Linked DNA regions of Anolis sagrei. The protein of the gene in region 2 purifies or fractionates together with the protein of the main gene of each other region. This does not show direct contact. Links are inferred from orthologs where the notes say so. Each region holds a gene or a part of one and is shown on either strand. Other genes may lie near its edges.

Region 1 (7,249 bases), on a different chromosome or scaffold from region 2:
TATTTATGTTGTGAAGGAAAATACAAAAAAATAAGCACCCAAGGACTGAACCGGAACTATGGAAATCTCTACTTTTCTATACCTGAGATATTCCATTAGAAATGTTTACACATAATGCCAATTTCATGAGCAGAGCCGAGCCATCATCAAAATGACTAACCTAAGGCAGCTTCATATACTGGAATTTCTAGACTGGATTGTTAGTGCTTTGAAATCTGTCCTGCGCTTCTTTATAGTGATGGGGTTCTATCACAACAATCTCAAACCGAGACCTAATTCTAGGTTTGGACTATTTTGGGGACATGCAATTTATGAACAAAGACTACTGGATATACATTCAGTAACTGGAAGAGCAGGACAGTACTGCCTTAAGTGTAACTGCTGATCTAAAATATGTGTGTACCCTGCCTTCTGAGTACAGGAAAACATTGTGCAAAAGGAAGTTTGGAGCTTGGATTTCATGTTAACACCATTGTAACAATCACAGCTTCACTAACTGTGGTCTCCAATTGTGAAAAAGTATTCATTGAAGTAATAATGCAGTGAGAGTAAGTACCTGAGTATTATTTAAATGTGGCCTACCCAGGATATTCATCTTTGTCTTTCATCTTACCTGATAGAGGGGATTGTTCTGAGCATCAACCTTAATAATAGCCATTGTTCTTTGCTTTTCCCACATCCAATAGGCAAGGTGTGAATCAGGGGCCCCTGTCTGTGCCACTAGATACTTAGAATCCGGGGAAAATGCCAGGCTGATAAATTCTTGGACAGAGAAATCAAAGGAGTTCAGGACCTTTCGTTTCTTGCATGGGACAGAGGACAGTTCATAAACTGTGATAGTAGGTTTATCCTGGAGTGTCTCTGAAATGGCCAGATAGCGCCGATTTGGACTAATTGCCAGTGCAAGCATCCCTTGACTTTTCTCTGAGCCTGTAAAGCAAACACACATGTGCACATACAAGCAAAACTTCCATGAGCATAACCTGGAAACTTAAACATTTTTGTTATCCAAAATGACAATAAATCAATGCATGTTGGTATTGTATGGGAGACTGCCAATGAATATCAGGTGTGTGGGTTACATTTCAAAGGAAGGAACTGGCAGAACCATATCTACGGGTACAGCTACACTGTAAAATGCAGATAGTTTGACATCACTTTAATTGCCATAGTTCAATGCAATTGAACCACCAATTCACAGCAATGATGGGGGAAATCTTCAATGCATTAGACTAGGGCAGGCATGGGCAAACATCTGCCCTCCCAGTGTTTTGGACTTCAACTCCCACAATTCCTAACAGCCTACTGGCTGACAGGCACAACCTGGGGATCACAACCAGATACAGTGAAGACATCTGCCCTTGCACTTTGCTACGCTGCTGCTGAGTATGCAGGCCCAGTGTGGAACACATCTCACCACGCTAAATCAGTGGCTCTTAATGAGACATGCTGCATTATCACGGGGTGTCTGCGCCCTACACCATTGGAGAAATTACACTGTTTAGCCAGTATTGCACCACCTGACATCCGCCGGGAAGTAGCAACCAATAGTGAAAGGACCACGGCAGTAACATCTCCGGCCCATCCCCTGTTTGGATGTCAGCTAGCACGCCAACGCCTTAAATCAAGAAATAGTTTTGTAAGATCTACAGAGACACTTACTGGAACACCTAAGCAAACGAGAGTCCAAAAGTGGCAGGCTAAAATCCAGAACCTCAATTAATGGCTGATACCATGAGAGACTCTCTCCTGGGCACACAGAAGACTAGGCAACATGGAAGGCACTGAATGGACTGTGCTCTGGCACCACGAGATGCAGAGCCAACCTTAAGAAATGGGGCTACAAAGTGGAGTCCACGAGTGTGGAGAAGAGCAAACCACAGACCACCTACTACAATGCAACCTGAGCCCTGCCACATGCACAATGGAGAACCTTCTTATAGTAACACCTAAGACACTCCAAGTGGCCAGCTACTGGTCAAACAACATTTAATAGAATACCAAGTCTGCAAACTTTGTGTAAAATACAATACAACCTTTTGGTTCGCTCCTGACACGATAAATAAATACCAGTTGTTAGGAATTGTAGGAGTTGCAGTCCAAAATAACTGGAGGGCTGAAGTTTGCCCATGCTGGGACTAGAGCAGTATGTATACTGAAACAGACTGGAAAAGGCCCACTCCACCCTGTGCCTTTCCAGAATAGGAAAACTCCAATAACAAGTCCCAGAAGCACTTTATTAGAATTAAGATTGCTGGCACACTGCACTTACTCTATAATCCTTACATATCACCTGTCACTTCAGCACTTTTGATCTGTACCCATTACTCTGGCCCGGCCCAGTGTCTTGGTGTATTGCTTATTGCTTGTTGTGTAATTCTGCTTTAACTGTTTTTAATTTTTTAATTTGCTTTAGGTTGTGTATTGTTATGTTGTGTTTTGAGGCCTTGGCCTTTGTAAGCCCCATCGAGTCGTTCGGGAGATGCTAGCGGGGTACAAATAAAGTTAATAATAATAATAATAATAATAATAATAATAGCCTCTGGAAACACACTCACCAGTGACTTAAAATATTAACTTGTTGAATAGACAGCAGAAGGCAAAACAGAACTGCCTCTGAGTTCTGAACAGGGGCAGATTTTGGCATCCCTTTTGGGAAAAATAGCATTCATCAGGTCTTTTTCCTCTACACTGTGATTGCTTCCATTCACTTACACCCTACTCGCTTACACTCTCTGTCTGGGTCCAGCCCCCCAGCCCCAGCCCATTTCCAAAGGGGAATGTAGTATGTAGTACAGTGGTTCTCAACCTGTGGGTCCCCAGGTGTTTTGGCTTACAACTCCCAGAAATCCCAGTCAGTTTACCAGCTGTTAGGATTTCTGGGAGTTGAAGGCCAAAAACATCTGGGGACCCCAGGTTGAGAACCACTGGACTAGAGGAATGTGATGAAACACAGAGGTGTGGTGATACAGTGTTATCCAAAGGAAGTAGGATAATTAGGGGGTAAATATCAACAGATTGGGGCTGGATATACTCTGCAATATCAAACAGCTTGGAACTGCATTATATGGCCAGCTAGACATTGAACTGCATGATATGATAGGTTTACACTGAATATGTAAGAGCTGGACCTTAGGGAAGGCTGAGCGAAGGAAGATCGATGCTTTTGAGCTGTGGTGTTGGAGGAAAGTCCTGAGAGTGCCTTGGACTGCGAGAAGATCCAACCAGTCCATCCTCCAGGAAATAAAGCCCGACTGCTCATTGGAGGGAAGGATACTAGAGACCAAGTTGAAGTACTTTGGCCACATGATGAGGAGACAGCAAAGCCTAGAGAAGACAATTATGCTGGGGAAAGTGGAAGGCAAAAGGAAGAGGGGCCGACCAAGGGCAAGATGGATGGATGGCATCCTTGAAGTGACTGGACTGACCTTGAAGGAGCTGGGGGTGGTGACGGCCGACAGGGAGCTCTGGCGTGGGCTGGTCCATGAGGTCACGAAGAGTCGGACTGAATGAATGAACAACACCACACTGAATGTGAAATTTGTAGAATAGTTTTAGTAGTTGTGTGTTTGTTTTAGATTTAGTTTTGTTAGATGTCATAGTTTTAGTGGCTGAGAGGGAAAAGCAAGGGGCCTGAGACTGTTAGGAATTGTGGGAGCTGAAGTCCAAAACACCTGGAGTGCCGAAGCTTGCCCATGCCTGATGGAGATGGATTAAAACAGTGGTTCTTAACCTGTGGGTCCCCAGGTGTTTTGGCCTACAACTCCCAGAAATCCCAGCTGTTAGGATCTAACTGCTGCTACGATCTCTGGGAGCTGAAGGCCAAAACACCTGGGGACCCACAGGTTGAGAACCACTGGATGAAAACATCAATACACCTGGAGGGAGGTGGCTAGATTTACCTGGGATGAACTTCTGCCATTTCTGCTCAATGTGATACTTCACGCAGCTATTCCCCGCGGGGTACACTATGATCTGCTCGTCAAAGAAACAAATGTTATTGGCCACGCGAGACTGGAAGCCAAAGATGTGCAGCGCTTGGGCCACGATCACCGACATGGCGCCGCAGGTTCGGAGCCTGTGCCGGAAAAACGAGAGCAACCACCGCCTGACAGTCCGTCTCGGCCTCGCTTGCTCTGTCTGCAGCCTTGAGTCGACCAGGGAGACAACGCTTTACAGCCGGTTGCTATGGCAACAGCGTCCCGGATGTAGCACCCTCGAAAAAGATGGCCGAAACGAATCGGAAATGTCCCGTAGGACGTCACATCCGTACCGGAAGTAGCTGTTGTATGGTTTCCTCGTGTTCAGTCGGTGGGAGGTAAGTGTGCTTCTAACAGGCTGGGGTAAACTTCGGCCCTCCAGGTGTTTTGGACTGCAACTCCCACCATTCCTAACAGCCGGTAGGCTGTTAGGAATGGTGGGAGTTGTAGTCCAAAACACCTGGAGGGCCAAAGTTTGCCCATGCCTCGCATAGAGTGCAGTTTAAGACTAAAGCGATATTGAACTGCGTTAATTCTACAGTGTAGATGCACCCTGTTTCCAAAATTGGGGAGGAAACAGTTCAGACTAACTTTATACAAAGATAGTATTTTTTTTTCAACCTATACAACATTTAATCACCTATCTTTCTTACTCTAGTCTGAATGAATCATAATGGGATGCATATTTATTATTAGCGATGGTTAGATTGGATTTTTATGGTATATACCTGTATTGGCCAGTATTTTGGATTGCTTGCATTAATAAGTTGTTTTGATCTCGTGCATTTAGGTTATTTGTGCAGTTACTCCCATTTTAGCTCATGTTCCTGGGGGATGGAATGTGTTTTCTAACTATTTTGCCTTTCAGTGCAGCTTAGTTGAATCCAGTTATCATAAAAGGATCTGAGATGCCCCACATGGAAATGGACGAAGATTGGTCGTCGTCCTCAGATTCGGATGAGTCTCTTGTTACAGACCGTGAGGTGAGTTTGGACTGTTATTGTTTGTTCTGTGCAGGAGTGGGGGCGGGCCACTTTTTCTCTCTTAGGGGCATGGCTGAGTAGGGGATCTGATAATATACTGTTTCCCAAACTTTGGTTCTCCAGGTGTTTTGGACTTCAGCTCCCACAAGTCCTAACTGATGGTAAAATGGTTGGGATTTCTGGGTGTTGAAGTCCAAAACACCCGGAGGACCAAAGGTTGAAAACCACTGTGATAAACTAGTGACGTAAAGGACTGAGAGTTGTAGATGAGTTCCATATCAGTTTGGGATTGGCCCTGGTAACCATTTCTCTTCATAGGCTGCGATGGAAGGCCATTTTTTCATCTTGTTTAGAGCAAGGATGCTACATTGTTGTAATAGCTGTGTGTAGGATGCACAACTTCATTTCACAGTAATAGAAGCTGGAAACTGTATTTAAATATATCAATAACACCTAATGATATTTCATCTTTATGAACAATATTTTAAAGGTGCAAAGAACTTTATGTAGATTATCTCGATTAGAATAATAATAATAATAATAATAATAATACTTTATTTGTACCCCACTACCATCTCCCCAAGGGACTCGGTGTGGCTTACATGAGGCCGAGCCCAAAATACATCAATACAAGCAATAACAACAAAAATAAAAACAATTAAAATAAAGCTCATAAACAAAAAAGCAATAAACAGTGACAGTAATACAACACACATTTAAAATCTATGGCTGGGCCAAATCAAAGTTTAAAAAAAATAATGTTAGGCATGAACAAGATAGGAGAGAATATCCGATTAAATAGTGTTATTTTTGTATTAAAGGCAAGAAACGGAGTATGAAAGAACCTCATTGTGTCAAAACTTGAGGAAAAAAGATTTGACCAAGTGTCCACCAAATGACAATGCAGTGTCAGAACATGTCAATATAAAATAGATTTCTGCATTGACTATTTGGAACTGGAATGTGTGGTTTGGTCCTTCAGATAGTCAACTGCAATTTCCTTTCCCCCTAATTAGCATACCTTGTGGAGAAAAATTATGTGAATTGTAGTCTAATGACATCTGGAAGACTACATTATATCTTTTGATCATTCTCCTCATTCTCCTTATGTTTCTATGTATTGAGCATTTACACATTCCTTTCCGTTATCAAAGGGGTGACTAAATAAGCTTTTTTGATATTTGTGTATGGTAACACTATCCAAGAAAATGTACATATAAGATTTCTTTATGTAGCTCCAGCAGGCGTTTTCTAAAGGATCACTAAAGCCAGGCTTAAATGTTGTGCTTGAGGGACGGCCGAAAATTATCAACAATGTGGTGAGTCCTGTATGACTGTGACCCATGTGGAATCAGTTCATGTGTGTGGTTCATCTACTTCTCCAAGTGGAACATTTTGATTACTGAAAAAAACCCCAGTATTTTGCCAGAATGAAGTCATTGCAAATAAACTCCGGATGGTATTGAACTGGAGGTGGGGGTCATTTAAATACATTGGTATCTATTTGCTACACATAGCAAAATCAATTTGAAACATTCTGTCAAGGATATAAAATGTGGTCATTTATTCTTTTTCTTCAAGACAGAGAAGCTTGCATCAATTTCTGTTGATGTTGTCCTTGTTGAGGCAGAAGCACCTTCATTTTTGCTTATAGCTTATGACTAGGAAAAGCTTTTATTTTTAAAAAAACCTGGTGTCTCCTTGGCTAGGAAGCAGTAAATACAGTGTGTGATATCTAATGGGAATCTTAAGGGAATGCTTTTATCAGCATAAGATCTAGTTGATGGTTTTAGGGATGGGTGGGGATTTTCATACGATTGTTTTAGTTGTCATGACAGCACAGCCTTTCCCCAAGGTGCTGCACTAGAATCTACATCATGCAGATCTAGCATGGCCAATATTGGCTGAACATGTTGGAAGAAGTTGTAGTTCAACATGTGTGAAGAGCACTAGGTTGGAAAAAACTATTAAATAGTGTATGGAAGTTCTTTGTATTACTCTAATCCTCACATCATATTCTTCCTAGAATGGACTGAAGCAGTGCTTATCTGAGTTCCAGAGGGACTTGGACTGGGTTGAAAGGCTTGATCTTACCTCTTACCTGCCAACAAACACCACGAGTGCTCCTTCTAATCAAACCACTGACAATGATGCTGATGATCCTGAGGATGACTTCAAAAGAGAAATGAGTTTGTAAGTCTATTTCTTCTTGAGTTTCCTCACTGTAATTGGAAGCTTTGTGTGTTGTATTTTATTTATCCTCTTAACATAACAAAAGTTGGAACC
Region 2 (7,873 bases):
GGAGACTAGGACGCAATGGAACAATGGCTTCAAACTACAAGAAAGGAGATTCCATCTGAACATGAGGAAGAACTTCCTGACTGTGAGAGCTGTTAAGCAGTGGAACTCTCTGCCCTGGAGTGTGGTGGAGGCTCCTTCTTTGGAAGCTTTTAAACGGGCTGGATGGCCATCTGTCAGAGGTGATTTGAGTGCAATTTTCCTGCTTCTTGGCAGGGGGTTGGACTGGATGGGCCATGAGGTCTCTTCTAACTCTTTGATTCTATGATTCTATATGTTGACCCTGAGTGAGGGCCGGGTAAATGACCTTGGAGGGCCGCATCTGGCCCCCGGGTCTTAGTTTGAGGACCCCTGATCTGGAATATATGATGTTGTAGAGGGGGCCTGACATGTAGAACCCTTCTACACTTCCTCTATATCCCTGGATTTGATCCCATATTATCTTATCCCAGATTATTTTATTTATCCGCCCTGAGTCGACCCCCTCCCCCTGGGGTTGAGAAGGGCAGGGTACACATATTTGAAATAAAAATAAATATCCCAGATTATATGGCAGTGGATACTTTGGGCCCTTCCACACAGCCATATAACCCAGAATATCAAGGTAGATAATCCACAATACCTGCTTTGAACTGGGTTATCTGAGTCCACATTGCAACATAATCCAGTTCAATGTGGATTTATACAGCTCTGTGGAAGGGACCGCATATAATCCAGTTCAAAGCAGACAACCTGGGATCAGATCCTAGGATATAAGGACAATGTAGTAGGAACATTGGGCTGGATCTACACTGCCATATAAGCAGATCACCCACATTATGTGCTTCAAGCTGGATTATATGACCGATACACCATTCCAAAGCAGATAATCTGGATTTGATGTTCAAGTATCAGTCTTCCAACAGATATGAAAATCCATTCCGAAGCACAGAAAGAAGCCAAATTTGGAAATCAACACCTGCAATTGTGTAAAATCCACATTGAACTGGATTATCAGGCAATGTGGACTCTGGGCCCTTCCACACAGCCATATAACCCAGAATATCAAAACAGAAAACCCCACAATATCTGCTTTGAATTGGGCTGAATCCATACTGCCATATAATCCCGTTCAAAACAGAAAATGTGGGGTTCTATTCAGATGCATGAAAGGGGCCTATGTTTTAAGCCGCCCTGAGTCCCCGCTGCGGAGATAAACAGGGCAGGATAGAAATTAAGTTGCATTCATTCATTATCTGACTTGATATTCTGGGTCGTATGGCTGTGTGAGTCTACACTGCCAGATAACCCAGATCAAAGCAGATATTGTGGATTTGTTTATTTGTTGTTTGTATACACCTTTCTCAGGCCATAGGCGACTCAAGGCAGTTAACAGGGCAAAATTCAATGCTTACAATGTCTTAAATACAATTTAAAAACATAACATATAACAAAAACTAAACAAATCAATAAAATATAAATTCATAGTGTCTCCTTGTTAAAAATGTTGTCCGGACTCATTGTCTAGTCATAGAATCCTAGAGTTGGAAGAGACCTCTTGGGCCATCCAGTCCAACCCCATTCTGCCAAGAAGCAGGAATATTGCATTCAAAGCACTCCTGACAGATGGCCATCCAACCTCTGTTTATAAGCTTCCAAAGAAGAAGCCTCCACCACACTCTGGGCAGAGAGTTCCACTGCTGAACAGCTCTCGCCGTCAGGAAGTTCTTCCTCATGTTCAGATGGAATCTCCTTTCATAGAATCAAAGAGTTGGAAGAGACCTCATGGGCCATCCACTCCAACCCCATTCTGCCAAGAAGCAGGAATATTGCATTCAAATCACCCCTGACAGATGGCCATCCAGCCTCTGTTTAAAAGCTTCCAAAGAAGGAGCCTCCACCACACTCCAGAGCAGAGAGTTCCACTGCTGAACAGCTCTCACAGTCAGGAAGTTCTTCCTCATGTTCAGATGGAATCTCCTCTCTTGTAGTTTGAAGCCATTGTTCCATTGCATCCTAGTCTCCAGGGCAGCAGAAAACAAGCTTGCTACCTCCTCCCTAGGACTTCCTCTCATGGCTATCATGTCTCCTCTCAGCCTTCTTTTCTGCAGGCTAAAAATGCCCAGCTCTTTAGGCCGCTCCTCATAGGGCTTGTTCTCCAGACCCTTGATCATTTTAGTCACCCTCCTCTGGACACATTCCAGCTTGTCGTTCCAGTCGTTCCATTGTCCTATGTCAGTTACTCTGTAATTGCAAACGCTTGTTGACTTTTCTCCAGAATGTTAAAATGGAAGTGGCCGATCTAATATCTATAGGGAGAGTGTTCATCAGCCAAAGAGCCACCACCGAAAAGGCCCTGTCTCTTGTCTCCGCCAAAGGTACTTGTGACGAAGGCGGTAACGAGAGCAGGGCCTCCCCAGACGATCTTAAGGTCCTAGATGATTCATAATGGTAGATGCATTCGGACATGTAAGTTGGGCCAGAACCATTTAGGGCTCTATAGGCTAAAATTGATATGGATATTTATAGGCTAAATTTTGTAAATTAGGCTTTATAGGCTAAAACTGATATTGACATTCAGAGGACCTTTCCACACAGCTGAATAAAATCCCACATTATCTGCTTTGAACCAGATTATATCCACAATATCTGTTCAAAGCAGATATTGTGGATGGTCTGCCATGATATTCTGTGTGGAAGGGCTTAGAACAGGCATGGGCAAACTTGGGCCCTCCAGGTGTTGTGGATTTCAACTCCCACCATTCCTAACAGCCCTCCAGGTGTTTTGGACTCCAACTCTCACCATTCCTAACAGCCTACTGGCTGTTAGGAATGGTGGGAGCTGGAGTCCAAAACACCTGGAGGGCTGTTAGGAATGGTGGCTGTTAGGAATAGTGGGCGTTGGAGTCCAAAACACCTGGAGGGCTGGGTTGTAGTTTTTTTTGGGCTGTATGGCCATGGTCTAGAGCAGAGGTCTTCAAACTAAGGCCCGGGGGCCGGATGTGGCCCTCCAAGGTCATTTACTCGGCCCTCGCTCAGGGTCAACCTAAGTCTGAAACTACTTGAAAGCACACAACAACAACAACAATCCTATTTCATCAGCCAAAAGCAGGCCCACACTTCCCATTGAAATATTAATAAGTTTATATTTGTTAAAATTGTTCTTCATTTTAATTATTGTAGTTTTTTGCACTACAAATAAAATATGTGCTGCGTGCATAATATTCATTCATGTTAGGCCCTCCAACAATTTGAGGTATTGTGATCTGGCCCACTTTTTAAAAAGTATGAGGACCCCTGATCTAGAGGTATTCTCTCCTGAGGTTTCGCCTGCACTTTGGCAAGCATCCTCAGAGGTAGTGAGGTAACAACCTGGAGGGCTGTTAGAATTGTGGCTGTTACAAATTGTGGGAGCTGGAGTCCAAAACACCTGGGGGGTTGTTATGAATTGTGGCTGTTAGGAATGGTGGGAGTTGGAGTCCAAAACACCTGGAGGGGTGTTAGGAATTGTGGCTGTTAGGAATAGTGGGCTTTAAGAGTCCAAAACACCTGGAGGGCTGTTAGGAAATGTGGGAGTTGGAGTCCAAAATACCTGGAGGGCTGTTAGGAATTGTGGCTGTTAGGAATAGTGGGCTTTAAGAGTCCAAAACACCTGGAGGGCTGTTAGGAAATGTGGAGTTGGAGTCCAAAATACCTGGAGGGCTGTTAGGAATTGTGGCTGTTAGGAATAGTGGGCTTTAAGAGTCCAAAACACCTGGAGGGCTGTTAGGAATTGTGGCTGTTAGGAATAGTGGGCTTTAAGAGTCCAAAACACCTGGAGGGCTGTTAGGAATTGTGGGAGTTGGAGTCCAAAACACCTGGAGGGCTGTTAGGAATTGTGGGAGTTAGGAATGGTGGGAGCTGGAGTCCAAAACACCTGGAGAACTGTTAGGAATTGTGGCTGTTAGGAACTGTGGGGGTTGGAGTCCAAAACACCTGGAGGGCTGTTAGGAATGGTAGGAGTTGGAGTCCAAAACACCTTGAGGGCCGTTAGGAATTGTGGCTGTTACAAATTGTGGGAGTTGGAGTCCAAAACACCTGGAGGATTGTTCGGAATGGAGGGAGGTGGGAGTCCAAAACACCTAGAGGGCTGTTAGGAATTGTGACTGTTAGGAATAGTGGGGTTTAAGAGTCCAAAACACCTGGAGGGCTGTTAGGAATGGTGGGAACTGGAGTCCAAAACACCTGGAGGGCTGTTAGGAATTGTGGGAGTTGGAGTCCAAAACACCTAGAGTGCTGTTAGGAATGGTGGGGTCCAAAACACCTAGAGTACTGTTAGGAATGGTGGGGTCCAAAACACCTGGAGGGCTGTTAGGAATTGTGGGAGTTGGAGTCCAAAACACCTAGAGTACTGTTAGGAATGGTGGGGTCCAAAACATCTAGAGTGCTGTTAGGAATGGTGGGAGTTGGGGTCCAAAACACCTGGAGGGCTGTTAGGAATTGTGCCTGTTAGAAATTGTGGGAGTTGGAGTTCAAAACACCTGGAGGGCCCAAGCTTGCCCATGCCTGGCTTACAGACACACAAGAACAAACCGGATCCAGAGCCACAAAATGGGCCGACCCCACGCGGTTGCAGGCAGAGGGCGCCGCCACGTGTTCTCCTTACCACTTCCGTCTCTGCGAAACGGACCTATCAGGAAGCGTAGAATTCCCAGTTTTGTCATCTTATTGGCTCGGCGACGTGTCGTCCCGCCCTCGAGTTCAGGGGCGGTGTCTGATTGGGCGGAGCGAGTCGACGCGGGATTGGTGTGGGGGAAAGCCCGGAGTGGGCGGAGCTTGGGGCTGCGCGGTCTCCCATTGGCTGAGGCGGCAGCGTGGGGCGTGAGGGAGAGCGCGGCGAGCCCTCGACCTCGCTCTTTTCGCTTTTGGCGGAGACTGGAGAGCGCGGCGGTCCCTTCTTTCTCTCTCTCCTTGTAGGCCTCGCTCCACATCCGGGCATCTCCCAGCGCCGCCATCATGGTGAAACTCGCCAAGGTGAGGCTTTGAGGCCTAGCCTCACTCATTTAGAATGGAAGGAAACCCAACGAATGAAGGGGGGAAAGGGTTTTTTTTTAGTAGGCCTTGTGCGCGTGCGCAGCAGTTTCAAGGCCTCCCGTTCCTTCGCTTCTACACAAGCGAGGAGGCAGCAGTTTCAAGACTCCCCTTCTCCCTTTTCCTACTACTTATTTATTTATTTTGGCGCGCAGGCGCAGATCGAAATAGAACGCTCGGCGGTTTCTAGGACTCCCCCCTTTTTTTTCTTCTAAAAGGAAAAGAGCGAGCGCGCGCGCATACGCGCAGGAGTTTCTAGGCGCCCGCGCTCTTTCTTTTTTTCCCCCTTTTCTCTGTGTTGAGCGGCGCGCGCAGCCAACGGAGAGGGGAGGGGCTGGGAGGAAAGAGGAGCGAGCAAGGAGCGGTGTGCGCGCGCACTCTCCCTCTCCCGCCTGCTCTCCCGAAGCCACGTGATCTCAAACCACGTGGGTGATGGAAGGAAGGAAGGAGAGGAAATGCTCAGCCTAGGCCTCGCTTCCGGGGCTTCCACGTGGTTTTCGCGTTCTGCTCAAAAGAAAAAGGGACCCTTAAAAAGACCCTCCAGTCCAACCTGTAATTCTGCCATGCAGGGAATGTACACAAACCTTTGCATTATATTGTACTGTGTTGGCCTTTATATTCCTTGGAAGGGACCCCTAAAGGCCATCCAGTCCAACCCCCTTTTTGGGTTTTGCTCAAAAGAAAAAGAGACCCCTTAAAAAGACCCTCCAGTCCAACCTGTAATTCTGCCATGCAGGGAATGTAAACAAACCTTTGCATTATATTGTACTGTGTTGGCCTTTATATTCCTTGGAAGGGACCCCCAAAGGCCATCCAATCCAACCCTCTCCTGCCATGCAGGGAATTATAGCCTTTTCATATTGTATTGATATTGTAGTGTACTGTGTTGGCCTGTATTAATTGCTCTTTATATTCTTTGGAAGGGGCCCCCCAAAAGCCATCCAGTCCAACCCCTCCTGCCATGCAGGGAATCACAACCTTTTCATATTGTTGTGTTGTATTGTACTTTGTTGGACTGTATTGATAGTACTTTCTAATCCTTGTGAGGGACCCCTAAAGGTCGTACAGTCCAACCCCCTTCTGCTATACAGGGAATTGTATTGTATTGTACTGTGTTGGCCTGTATTAATTGCTCTTTATATTCCTTGGAAGGGATCCCTAAAGGCCACCAGTCCAACCCCCTTCTGCCATGCTGGGAATTACAACCTTTTCATGTTATATTGATAATACTTTCTAATCCTTGTAAAGGACCCCCAAGGCTATTCAGTCCAACCCCCTTCTGCCATGCAGGGAATTATAGCCTTTTAATATTATTGTATTGATAGTACTTTCTAATCCTTGGAAGGGACCCCCAAAGGCCATCCAGTCGAATCCCCTTCTGCCATGCAGGGAATTGTAGTATTATATTGTATTGTACTTTGTTGGTCTGATTTAATTGCTCTTTATATTCCTTGGAAGAGACCCCCCAAAGGCCATTCAATCCAACCCCCTTCTGCCATGCAGGGAATTGTAGTATTATATTGTATTGTACTGTGTTGGCCTATATTAATTGCTCTTTATATTTCATGGAAGGGGCCCCCAAAGGCCATCCAGTCCAACCCCTTCTGCCATACAGGGAATTTTAGTGTTTTATTATATTGTACTGTGTTGATTACCCTTTATATTCCTTGGAAGGGACCCTAAAGGCCATCCAGTCCAACCCTTTCAGCCATGCAGGGAATTACAGCCTTTTCATGGTATTGTATTGTATTTTCTAATTCTTGGAAGGGACCCTAAAGGCCATCCAGTCCAACCCCCTTCTGCCATGCAGGGAATTATAGCCATTTCATATTGATAGTACTTTCTAATCCTTGTAAGGGACCCCCAAAGGCCATCCAGTCCAACCCTTTTCTGCCATACAGGGAATTGTAGTATTATTATATCATATTGTACTGTGTTGATTACCCTTTATATTCCTTGGAAGGGATCCCTAAAGGCCATCCAGTCCAACCCCCTTCTGCCTTGCAGGAAATTGGAACCTTTGCATTGTATTGTACTGTGTTGGCCTGCCTTGATAATGGTTTCTAATCCTTGGAAGGGACCCCCTCCCCCCCAAGGACATCCAGTCTAATCCCCTTCTGCCATGTGCGAAATTTATGTATTGCATTGCACTTTCTAAACCTTGGAAGGGACCCCCAAAGATCATCCAGACCAACCCCTTTCTGCCATGCAGGGAATTTGAACCATTGTATTGTACCATGTTGGCCTGTATTGATTGCCCTTTATATTCCTTGGAAGGACCCCTAAAGGCCATCCACTCCAATCCCCTTCTGCCATACAGGGAATCACAACCTTTTCATATTATTTTATTGCATTGTATCATACTTTGTTGGACTGTATTGATAGTACTTTCTAATCCTTGTAAGGGACCCCCAAAGGCCATCTAATCCAACCCCCTTCTGCCATACAGGGAATTGTAGTATCGTATTGTGTTGGCCTGTATTAATTGCTCTTTATATTCCTTGGAAGTGACCCCCAAAGGCCATCCACTCCAACCCCCTTCTGCCATGTAGGAAATTTTTAGTATTATATTGTACTGTGTTGGCCTGTATTAATTGCCATTTATTTATTTATTTTAAACATTTTAACTGTATCTAAATAGGAATATCTTTATATTCCTTAGAAGGGATCCCCAAAGACCATCCAGTCTAACCCCCTTTTGCCATGCAGAAAATTATAAACTTTGCATTGCATGGCAATTTCAACCTTTACAACCTTTGGCCTGTATTAATTGGCCTTTATATTCCTTGGAAGGGACCCCAAAAGGCCTTCCAGTCCAACCACTCCT
Region 3 (7,918 bases), about 190 Mb from region 2:
TTATTGGAAACCACCCTAAGTCCCTTCGGGGAGATAGGGCGGTCTATAAATAAAGTTTATTATTTAAAGCACGACCTAAAGAACCAAGCTGGATTTATTCATGAAGTGTTTGTCACCACAACATGAAAGAACCTCGACTAGAAGCCACTGAATACACAAGAAAAATAAATAAATGTACTTACTAGCATCCATATTCTCGATGACATGTACAAGCTGGGATATATTGTTTGATAAAGCCTCCTAAAGAAAGAGAATTTTAGTATACTATACTGCAGAAGTAGATTCCTCTTCCTTTTGAAATAAAAACCCAAACATAAACAGCCCTTTGTGAATTTCTTCCAATTAAATAATCAAAAAACAAAGTCAATTACACCAAAATCAAGTCAATTAAACCAGGCTTTTCAGTCACATGTAAAAACAATCTGAAAGAGGAGAGAGCAGAAGACTGAATATGAAGCCTAAACTGCGTGGAATGACAGATCCAGAAACAGCATATGCGACTACAAGAAACTGAAGCTACAGATGTACTTTCAAATTCTGGAGTCGCTATAATAATATAATAACTTTATTCTTATATCCAGCCTTCATATCCCCGAAGGGACTTGGGGCGGCTTATATGTGGATCAAGCCCATTATAAACAAAGATTACAAAGTAGCACAATTAAAAACATATAACAGTCAACTATATTAAAACAATAAAACCAATAAAATGCAAGACATCATAAAACATAAACATAACAAACAACCAGTAGCCGGAAAAAGTGGGCATGTGCAGATATGAGACTAATAAGGCAGGAGAAGGGCTTGTGCAAACTGTAGGGCCAGGGCTGGGAATAAAATGATAGAGATCCAACCAAAAGATTAGGGCTAGGCAGACTTGATCCGTAGCTAACACATACACACACTTTACAATTCATCCCACAGAAATATCAAGTCTACTCTTGGAACCCTTTCCCCCAAAAACATAACGCATATTAATGTATTGTATCATAGTGACTTAAGAAATTTAAATTAGAAAAAATTCTTTATTTAATGCCTAGGTAAAAGTAAACAGTTATTTCTTCCTTTATGCATATACAATGCCAGATCTACAGGCCTTCATATTTCAGGATACATGGGAACATATTGCTGAGGCATGTTTGTAGTGATAAATAATATGCCATAAACCAATGGGATAAACAGATTTATCTATCCTAGCACCAATAAAGCTGGAGATAGCTTAGACAGGGTACAGGGAGCCCACAACTCCTTTGTTGCGCCAGCTCCACTGGCTGCCAATTAGCTTCTGAGCACAATTCAAAGTGCTGGTTTTAATCTACAAAACCCTATACGATCCCAGCCCAATTTACCTGTCCGAACATCTTCTCCCCTATGAACCATCAAGGCTGTTAAGATCTTCTGGAGGGGCCCTTGCTCTCGGTCCCGCCAATTTTGCAATCGCGCCAGGTGGGAACGAGAGACGGGGGCTTTTCTGTGGTGGCCCCCGGCTATAGAATTCTCTCCCGAATGAGATCAGATCTGCCCCCTGCCTCCTGACCTTCAGGAAGCTAGTGAAATCCAGGCTATGGAATGAAGCATTCCCAGAATAATGGCCAAGACCAGCAATAGACTAAAGTTATTGACCACATATGAGGACCTAGTTGGACATGATTTTATCTTGGTGAATTGGCTTATATGTATTTTATTCTATATGTATTTTAATCTATTGTTGATGAATGATGTTTTAGATTGTACTGTTAGCATTGAATCCTTGCTGTTAGTTGGTCTAAGTCCCTCTACGGAGGTAGAGAAGATCGGGATACAAAAGTTGCAAATAAATAAAAAAATAATAGACCTTACACAGGTTCAGTATTCCTTCTGTGAAATGCTCGGGACTTGACATGCAATAACAATAAAATAATAAAATTCTATTTTTACACCACTTCTCTCCTCGAAGAGACTCAGGGAGGTTGTTCCCCTGAAATATATTACACATTTCAGGTTTTTAAAAATTATTTTGAAATACAGGAAATCCATGAGATACAGATATCCAACCTACATATGACTCCTAGTTACAAACGGGGCGAGACAACAGGAAGTGAGAGAAATCTACCCCTTGGAAGGGAAATTCACTCCTTAAAGAGCTATCATGGAGAAAATATTCCAAAATCAGGGCAGCCCCAGAGAGAAGCCTCTGCATAGAACGTGAAAGATTTATTTTCTAGGAAAGAGGCATAGCAATTGACTACACATTAACAAACAGCGTAATTACATCTTTGTATTACAATTTTGCATTGACATTTCTGTTGGCCTACCTGAAGGAGGGGTTTATCCTGCATCCACATGCAGTAAAACAGGCCTTTCCATATTTTCAATAATTCTTCTTCACTGAAGCTCCCTGAAGGCACCAAAAGCAAACTGAGCATTAGAGAAAGCCACAAATTTCCAAGTGCTTCACATAATGTGTATCTATATATCATAGGATAACGTGTGGCTTGATAATTTTGTATAAGGGGATATTCAATAAGACTCTAGGGCAGGCAAGGGACAACTTGGGGCCTCCAGGTGTTTTGGACTCCAACTCCCACCATTCCTCACAGCCTCAGGCCCCTTTCTTAAGCGGCTGAGGGGGAAAAGAAAGGGTCCTGAGGCTGTGAGGAATGGTGGGAGTTGGAGTCCAAAACACCTGGAGGCCCCGAGTTGGCTCATGCCTGCTCTAGACCAACGTAGCTGACAGGGCAGACTCCTCCACGTGCTCCCCGCGCCTCTCACCGGCCGGGTTCTGGGTCCGGAGCGTGATGTAGCCCCGCAGCTTCTTCAGCGCCCGGTCCCGGATCCGCTTCTCGTTGGCGGCCAGCCGCTGGGCGAACTGGATCTCCGGAGCCTGCGCGGCGGCAGGAGAAGAGGAAGAGGAGGACGCAACGGCGGCGGGAGCCATCATTCGCGGCCGAGCATCGCCCTCCTCCTCCTCCTTGCGGAACGCAACGCAACGCCCCCGGGGGCGGGGCCAGGCCGTTGCATCAAGCGCCTGCGGATGACGACATAGAACCTCTCTGTCGCGAGCGTTTTACGTAACCCGGCTCGTTTTCAAGAGGGCCTTGCTGCGCGTGCGCGGAGGGCAGTTGAGCGATGGCTCTGCTAGTTGTGTATCTTCAAGCCATTTCTATAGATTCATAGTTTGACTGAGAAACCTTCTTAATCTGGTGTCAAACTGCATTAATTCCACCCAAAGTGGAATGGAAATGCTCTACTACACACACACACACATATATAAATAATTTTTATTCCTCTTTGGATGAAATCAATGTTGTACTATATCTATAATATTTATTTATTTATTACTGCGCTTGTATATCGCCGTTTCTCAGCCAAAATTGGCGACTCAACGCGGTTTACAACTCTACAAACAATCAACAATATTCAGTTTAAAAAGCATAAAAACAACATACAATACATAGTATTGGGCCACCAATACAATCCAATGCATCTCTTAACTAGAATCGTAGTCCAATTTCATCGTCCATGATTACCAGTCCTTAATCATCAATTTCTTTGCACCGGATTAACCGAATGCTTGTTTGAACATCCATGTCTTCAATCTTTTCCGAAACACCATCAGCGAGGGGGCTGATCTTACCTCTATGGGGAGGGCGTTCCAAAGCCGAGGGGCCACCACAGAAAAGGCTCTGTCTCTCGTTCCCGCAAGCCGCACCTGTGAAGCAGGCGGGATGGAGAGCAGAGCCTCCCCAGAAGATCTTAGGGTCCTGGTGGGCTGATAGGCCGAGATATGTTCGGATAGGTAAGTTGGGCCAGAACCGTTTAGGGCTTTAAAGGCCAACCTTGAATTGGGCCCGGTAGCAGATCGGCAGCCAGTGGAGCTGGTGCAGCAGAGGAGTTGTATGCTCCCTGCGCTCCGCTCCCGTTAGTATCATGGCTGCCACCCGTTGGACTAATTGGAGCTTCCGAGCCGTCTTCAAGGGCAACCCCACGTAGAGAGCGTTGCAGTAGTATAATCTAAATGAGCCCCCGGTGGCGCAGTGGGTTAAAGCACTGAGCTGCTGAACTTGTTGACCGAAAGGTCACAGGTTCAATTCCGGAGAGTGGCGTGAGCTTCCACTGTCAGCCCTAGCTTCTGCCAACCTAGCAGTTCGAAAACATGCAAATGTGAATAGATCAATAGGTACCGCTTCGGCGGGAAGGTAACGGCGCTCCATGAAGTCATACCGGCCACATGACCTTGGAGGTGTCTACGGACACATAGGGAAACATGTCTTAGAAATGGAGATGAGCACCACATGTCTCTACTCTTAGCAAGATTGGTCATTGCTATCCTCCCAAGAAGGAGACATCTGATTTCCTGGCTGCAGTCTGTGTCTGCAGTCATCTTTGTGCCTAGAAATACAAAGTCTGTCACTGCCTCCACATTTTCTCCCTCTATTTGCCAGGTATCAACCAGTTTCTTCTTTCACCTTGGTTATAAGGCTCCTCAGCTGCTCCTTGCTTTCAGCCATAAAGTGGTATCATCTGCATATTTAAGGTTGTTAATGTTTCTTCCAGAAATGTTAACTCTAGCCTTGGATTGGTCAAGCCTCGCATGCCGCATGTGTTATGCATACAAGTTGAATAGGTAGGGTGGGAGTATAAAGCCCTGCATACTCCTTTCCAAATCTTGAACCAGTCAGTTGTTCTGTGGTCTATTCTGCTGTTTTTGGTCGTTATACAGATTTCTCAGGAGACAGGCTTGGTATCCCCATACATCCAAGAATATGCTACAATTTATTATGATCCACACAGTCAAAGGCTTTAGAATAGTCAATAAAACAGAAATAGATGTTTTTGTGATACTCCCTGTCTTTCTCCATTATCCAGCGGATATTGGCAGTGGTTCTGGCCCAACTTACTTGTCTGAACTGTGCCGGCAGGACTGAAGATCGACAGGTCACAGGTTCGAATCCGGGGAGAGGCGGATGAGCTCCCTCTATTAGCTCCAGCTCCTCATGCGGGGACATGAGAGAAGCCTCCCACAAGGATGATAAAACATCAAAAAAAAATCATCCAGGCGTCCCCTGGGCAACGTCCTTGCAGACGTCCAATTCTCTCACAACAGGAGCGGTTGCTCCTGACACGAAAAAAAAAAACTTGTCTGAACGCATCTGCCTCTACGTCCCACCTCGTAACCTAAGATCACCCGGGGAGGCTCTGCTTCTCGCTTCCACCAACATTGCAAATGTGGCTGGTGGGGACGAGGGACAGGGCCTTCTCGACCCCATCCCTCCTGGCTTTCAGGAAGAAAGTAAAATTGTGGTTGTGGAACCAGGCCTTTGGTCAGCAGACATAAAGCAGCACTTTGGTTGAAATGGACTGGAAAGTCGATTTACATGAGGATACGGTTTTATTGGTAATTAAGATTTTATACTGTTTAATTAATGGCTTATGTATTTTATGTATTGTAATGGTTTGATGGTTTTGTTTAATGGTTATTGCATTAGATATTCATGTAACGGCATCGACTTGCTGCCAATGTAAGCCGTCCTGAGTCCCCCTTTCGGGTAGAGAAGAGACAGGATATAAATACCATAAATAAATAAATAAATAAATAAATAATTGTTCTGCCGCCTTTTCTAAACCCAGCTTGTTCATCTGGCAACTCTCTCTCCATGTTTTGCTGGAGTCTTCCTTGCAGGATCTTGAGCATTACCTTGCTGGCATGTGAAATAAGGGCCACTGTACGAAAGTTTGATCATTCTTTAGCGTTTCACTTTTTTTTTTGTTCATTCATTCAGTCGTCTCCGACTCTTCGTGACCTCATGGACCAGCCTACGCCAGAGCTCCCTGTCGGCCGTTACCACCCCCAGCTCCCTCAAGGTCAGTCCAGTCACTTCAAGGATGCCATCCATCCATCTTGCCCTTGGTCGGCCCCTCTTCCTTTTGCCTTCCACTTTCCCCAGCATAATTGTCTTCTCTAGGCTTTCCTGTCTCCTCATGATGTGGCCAAAGTACTTCAACTTTGTCTCTAGTATCTTTCCCTCCAGTGAGCAGTCGGGCTTTATTTCCTGGAGGATGGACTGGTTGGATCTTCTCGCAGTCCAAGGCACTCTCAGCACTTTCCTCCAACACCACAGCTCAAAAGCATCGAGACTGGACATTGCTCTCCTCCCAAGAAGTAAGCGTCTTCTGATTTCCTGGCCACAGTCTGCATCTGCAGTAATCTTTGCACCTAGAAATACAAAGTCTGTCACGGCCTCCACGGTTTCTCCCTCTATTTTCCAGTTGTCAATCATTCTTGTTGCCATAATCTTGGTTTTTTTGACGTTTAGCTGCAACCCGGCTTTTGCGCTTTCTTCTTTCACCTTGATTAGAAGGCTCCTCAGCTCCTCCTCGCTTTCGGCCATCAGAGTGGTGTCACCTGCATATCTGAGGTTGTTAATGTTTCTTCCAGCAATTTTCACCCCAGCTTTGCATTCATCCAGCCCCGCACATCGCATGATGTGTTCTGCATACAAGTTAAAAAGGTTGGGTGAGAGGATGCAGCCTTGCCGTACGCCTTTCCCAATCTTGAACCAGTCTGTTGTTCCGTGGTCAGTTCTGACTGTTGCTACTTGGTCCTTGTACAGATTCCTCAGGAGAGAGACAAGGTGGCTTGGGATGCCCATCCCACCAAGAACTTGCCACAATTTATTATGATCCACACAGTCAAAGGCTTTAGAATAGTCAATGAAGCAGAAGTTTTTCTGAAACTCCCTGCTTTTCTCCATTATCCAGCGGATATTGGCAATCTGGTCTCTCGTTCCTCTGCCTTTTCTAAACCCAGCTTGAACATCTGGCAACTCTCGCTCCATGTATTGCTGGAGTCTTCCTTGCAGGATCTTGAGCATTACCTTACTGGCATGAGAAATAAGGGCCACTGTACGGAAGTTTGAGCAGTCTTTCGCATTTCCCTTTTTTGGTATGGGGATATAAGTTGATTTTTTCCAGTCTGATGGCCATTCTTGTGTTTTCCATATTTGCTGGCATATGGCATGCATCACCTTGACAGCATCATCTTTTAAGATTTTAAACAGTTCAGCTGGGATCCCATCATCTCCTGCTGCCTTGTTGTTAGCAATGCTTCTTAAGGCCCATTCAACCTCACTCCTCAAGATGTCTGGTTCTAATTCATTCACCACACCGTCAAAGCTATCCTCGATATTGTTATCCTTCCTATACAGATCTTCTGTATAGTCTCGCCACCTTCTCTTGATCTCTTCAGCTTCTGTTAGGTCCCTGCCATCTTTGTTTCTTATCATACCAATTTTTGCCTGAAATTTACCTCCAATGTTTCTAATTTTCTGGAAGAGGTCTCTTGTCCTTCCTATTCTGTTGTCTTCTTCCACTTCCATGCATTGCTTATTTAAAAATAGTTCCTTATCTCTTCTGGCTAACCTCTGGAATTGCGCATTTAACTGGGCATATCTCCCCTTTTCACTGTTTCCTTTTGCTTTCCTCCTTTCTTGGGCTACTTCCAGTGTCTCAGCAGACAACCATTTTGCCTTCTTGGTTTTCCTTTTCTTTGGGACGTACTTTGTTGCCGCCTCCTGAACAATGTCTCGGACTTCTGTCCATAGTTCTTCTGGGACTCTGTTTACTAAATCTAGTCCTTCAAATCTGTTCTTCACTTCCACTGTATATTCGCTAGGAATGTTAGTGAGATCATATCTAACTGGTCTGTGTATTTTCCCTGATCTCTTTAGTTTTATTCTAAATTGGGCAATAAGAAGTTCGTGATCTGAGCTACAGTCAGCCCCAGGTCTTGTTTTCACCGACTGGATGGATGTCCGCCACCTTTGGCTGCAAAGGATGTAGTCAATCTGATTTCGGTGTTGACCGTCTGGTGAGGTCCATGTGTAAAGCCGTCTTTTAGGTTGTTGGAAGAGAGTATTCGTTATACACAGCGAGTTTT

What was found.
Region 1: the proteins of NCL (region 2) and EBNA1BP2 purify together in Homo sapiens (affinity purification with mass spectrometry; 3 studies listed by BioGRID and IntAct, with this or other methods). This does not show direct contact. The link is inferred for Anolis sagrei from reciprocal best matches to the Homo sapiens genes NCL and EBNA1BP2.
Region 3: the proteins of NCL (region 2) and RRP1B purify together in Homo sapiens (affinity purification with mass spectrometry; 3 studies listed by BioGRID and IntAct, with this or other methods). This does not show direct contact. The link is inferred for Anolis sagrei from reciprocal best matches to the Homo sapiens genes NCL and RRP1B.

Annotation. Positions count from the first base shown.
Region 1 is NC_090024.1:183,206,357-183,213,605, forward strand, and holds the start of EBNA1BP2 (probable rRNA-processing protein EBP2), read left to right. Parts: upstream 1-4,245; 5' UTR 4,246-4,318; intron 4,319-4,848; 5' UTR 4,849-4,888; coding exon 4,889-4,963; intron 4,964-6,198; coding exon 6,199-6,282; intron 6,283-6,989; coding exon 6,990-7,156; intron 7,157-7,249. Other genes in the region: CFAP57 (cilia- and flagella-associated protein 57), read right to left, coding at 614-930, 3,903-4,059. UniProt on the Homo sapiens protein: Required for the processing of the 27S pre-rRNA.
Region 2 is NC_090023.1:267,120,094-267,127,966, forward strand, and holds the start of NCL (nucleolin), read left to right. Parts: upstream 1-4,830; 5' UTR 4,831-4,971; coding exon 4,972-4,989; intron 4,990-7,873. UniProt on the Homo sapiens protein: Nucleolin is the major nucleolar protein of growing eukaryotic cells. It is found associated with intranucleolar chromatin and pre-ribosomal particles. It induces chromatin decondensation by binding to histone H1.
Region 3 is NC_090023.1:75,837,149-75,845,066, reverse strand, and holds the start of RRP1B (ribosomal RNA processing protein 1 homolog B), read right to left. Parts: upstream 3,005-7,918; 5' UTR 2,921-3,004; coding exon 2,752-2,920; intron 2,378-2,751; coding exon 2,295-2,377; intron 241-2,294; coding exon 183-240; intron 1-182. UniProt on the Homo sapiens protein: Positively regulates DNA damage-induced apoptosis by acting as a transcriptional coactivator of proapoptotic target genes of the transcriptional activator E2F1.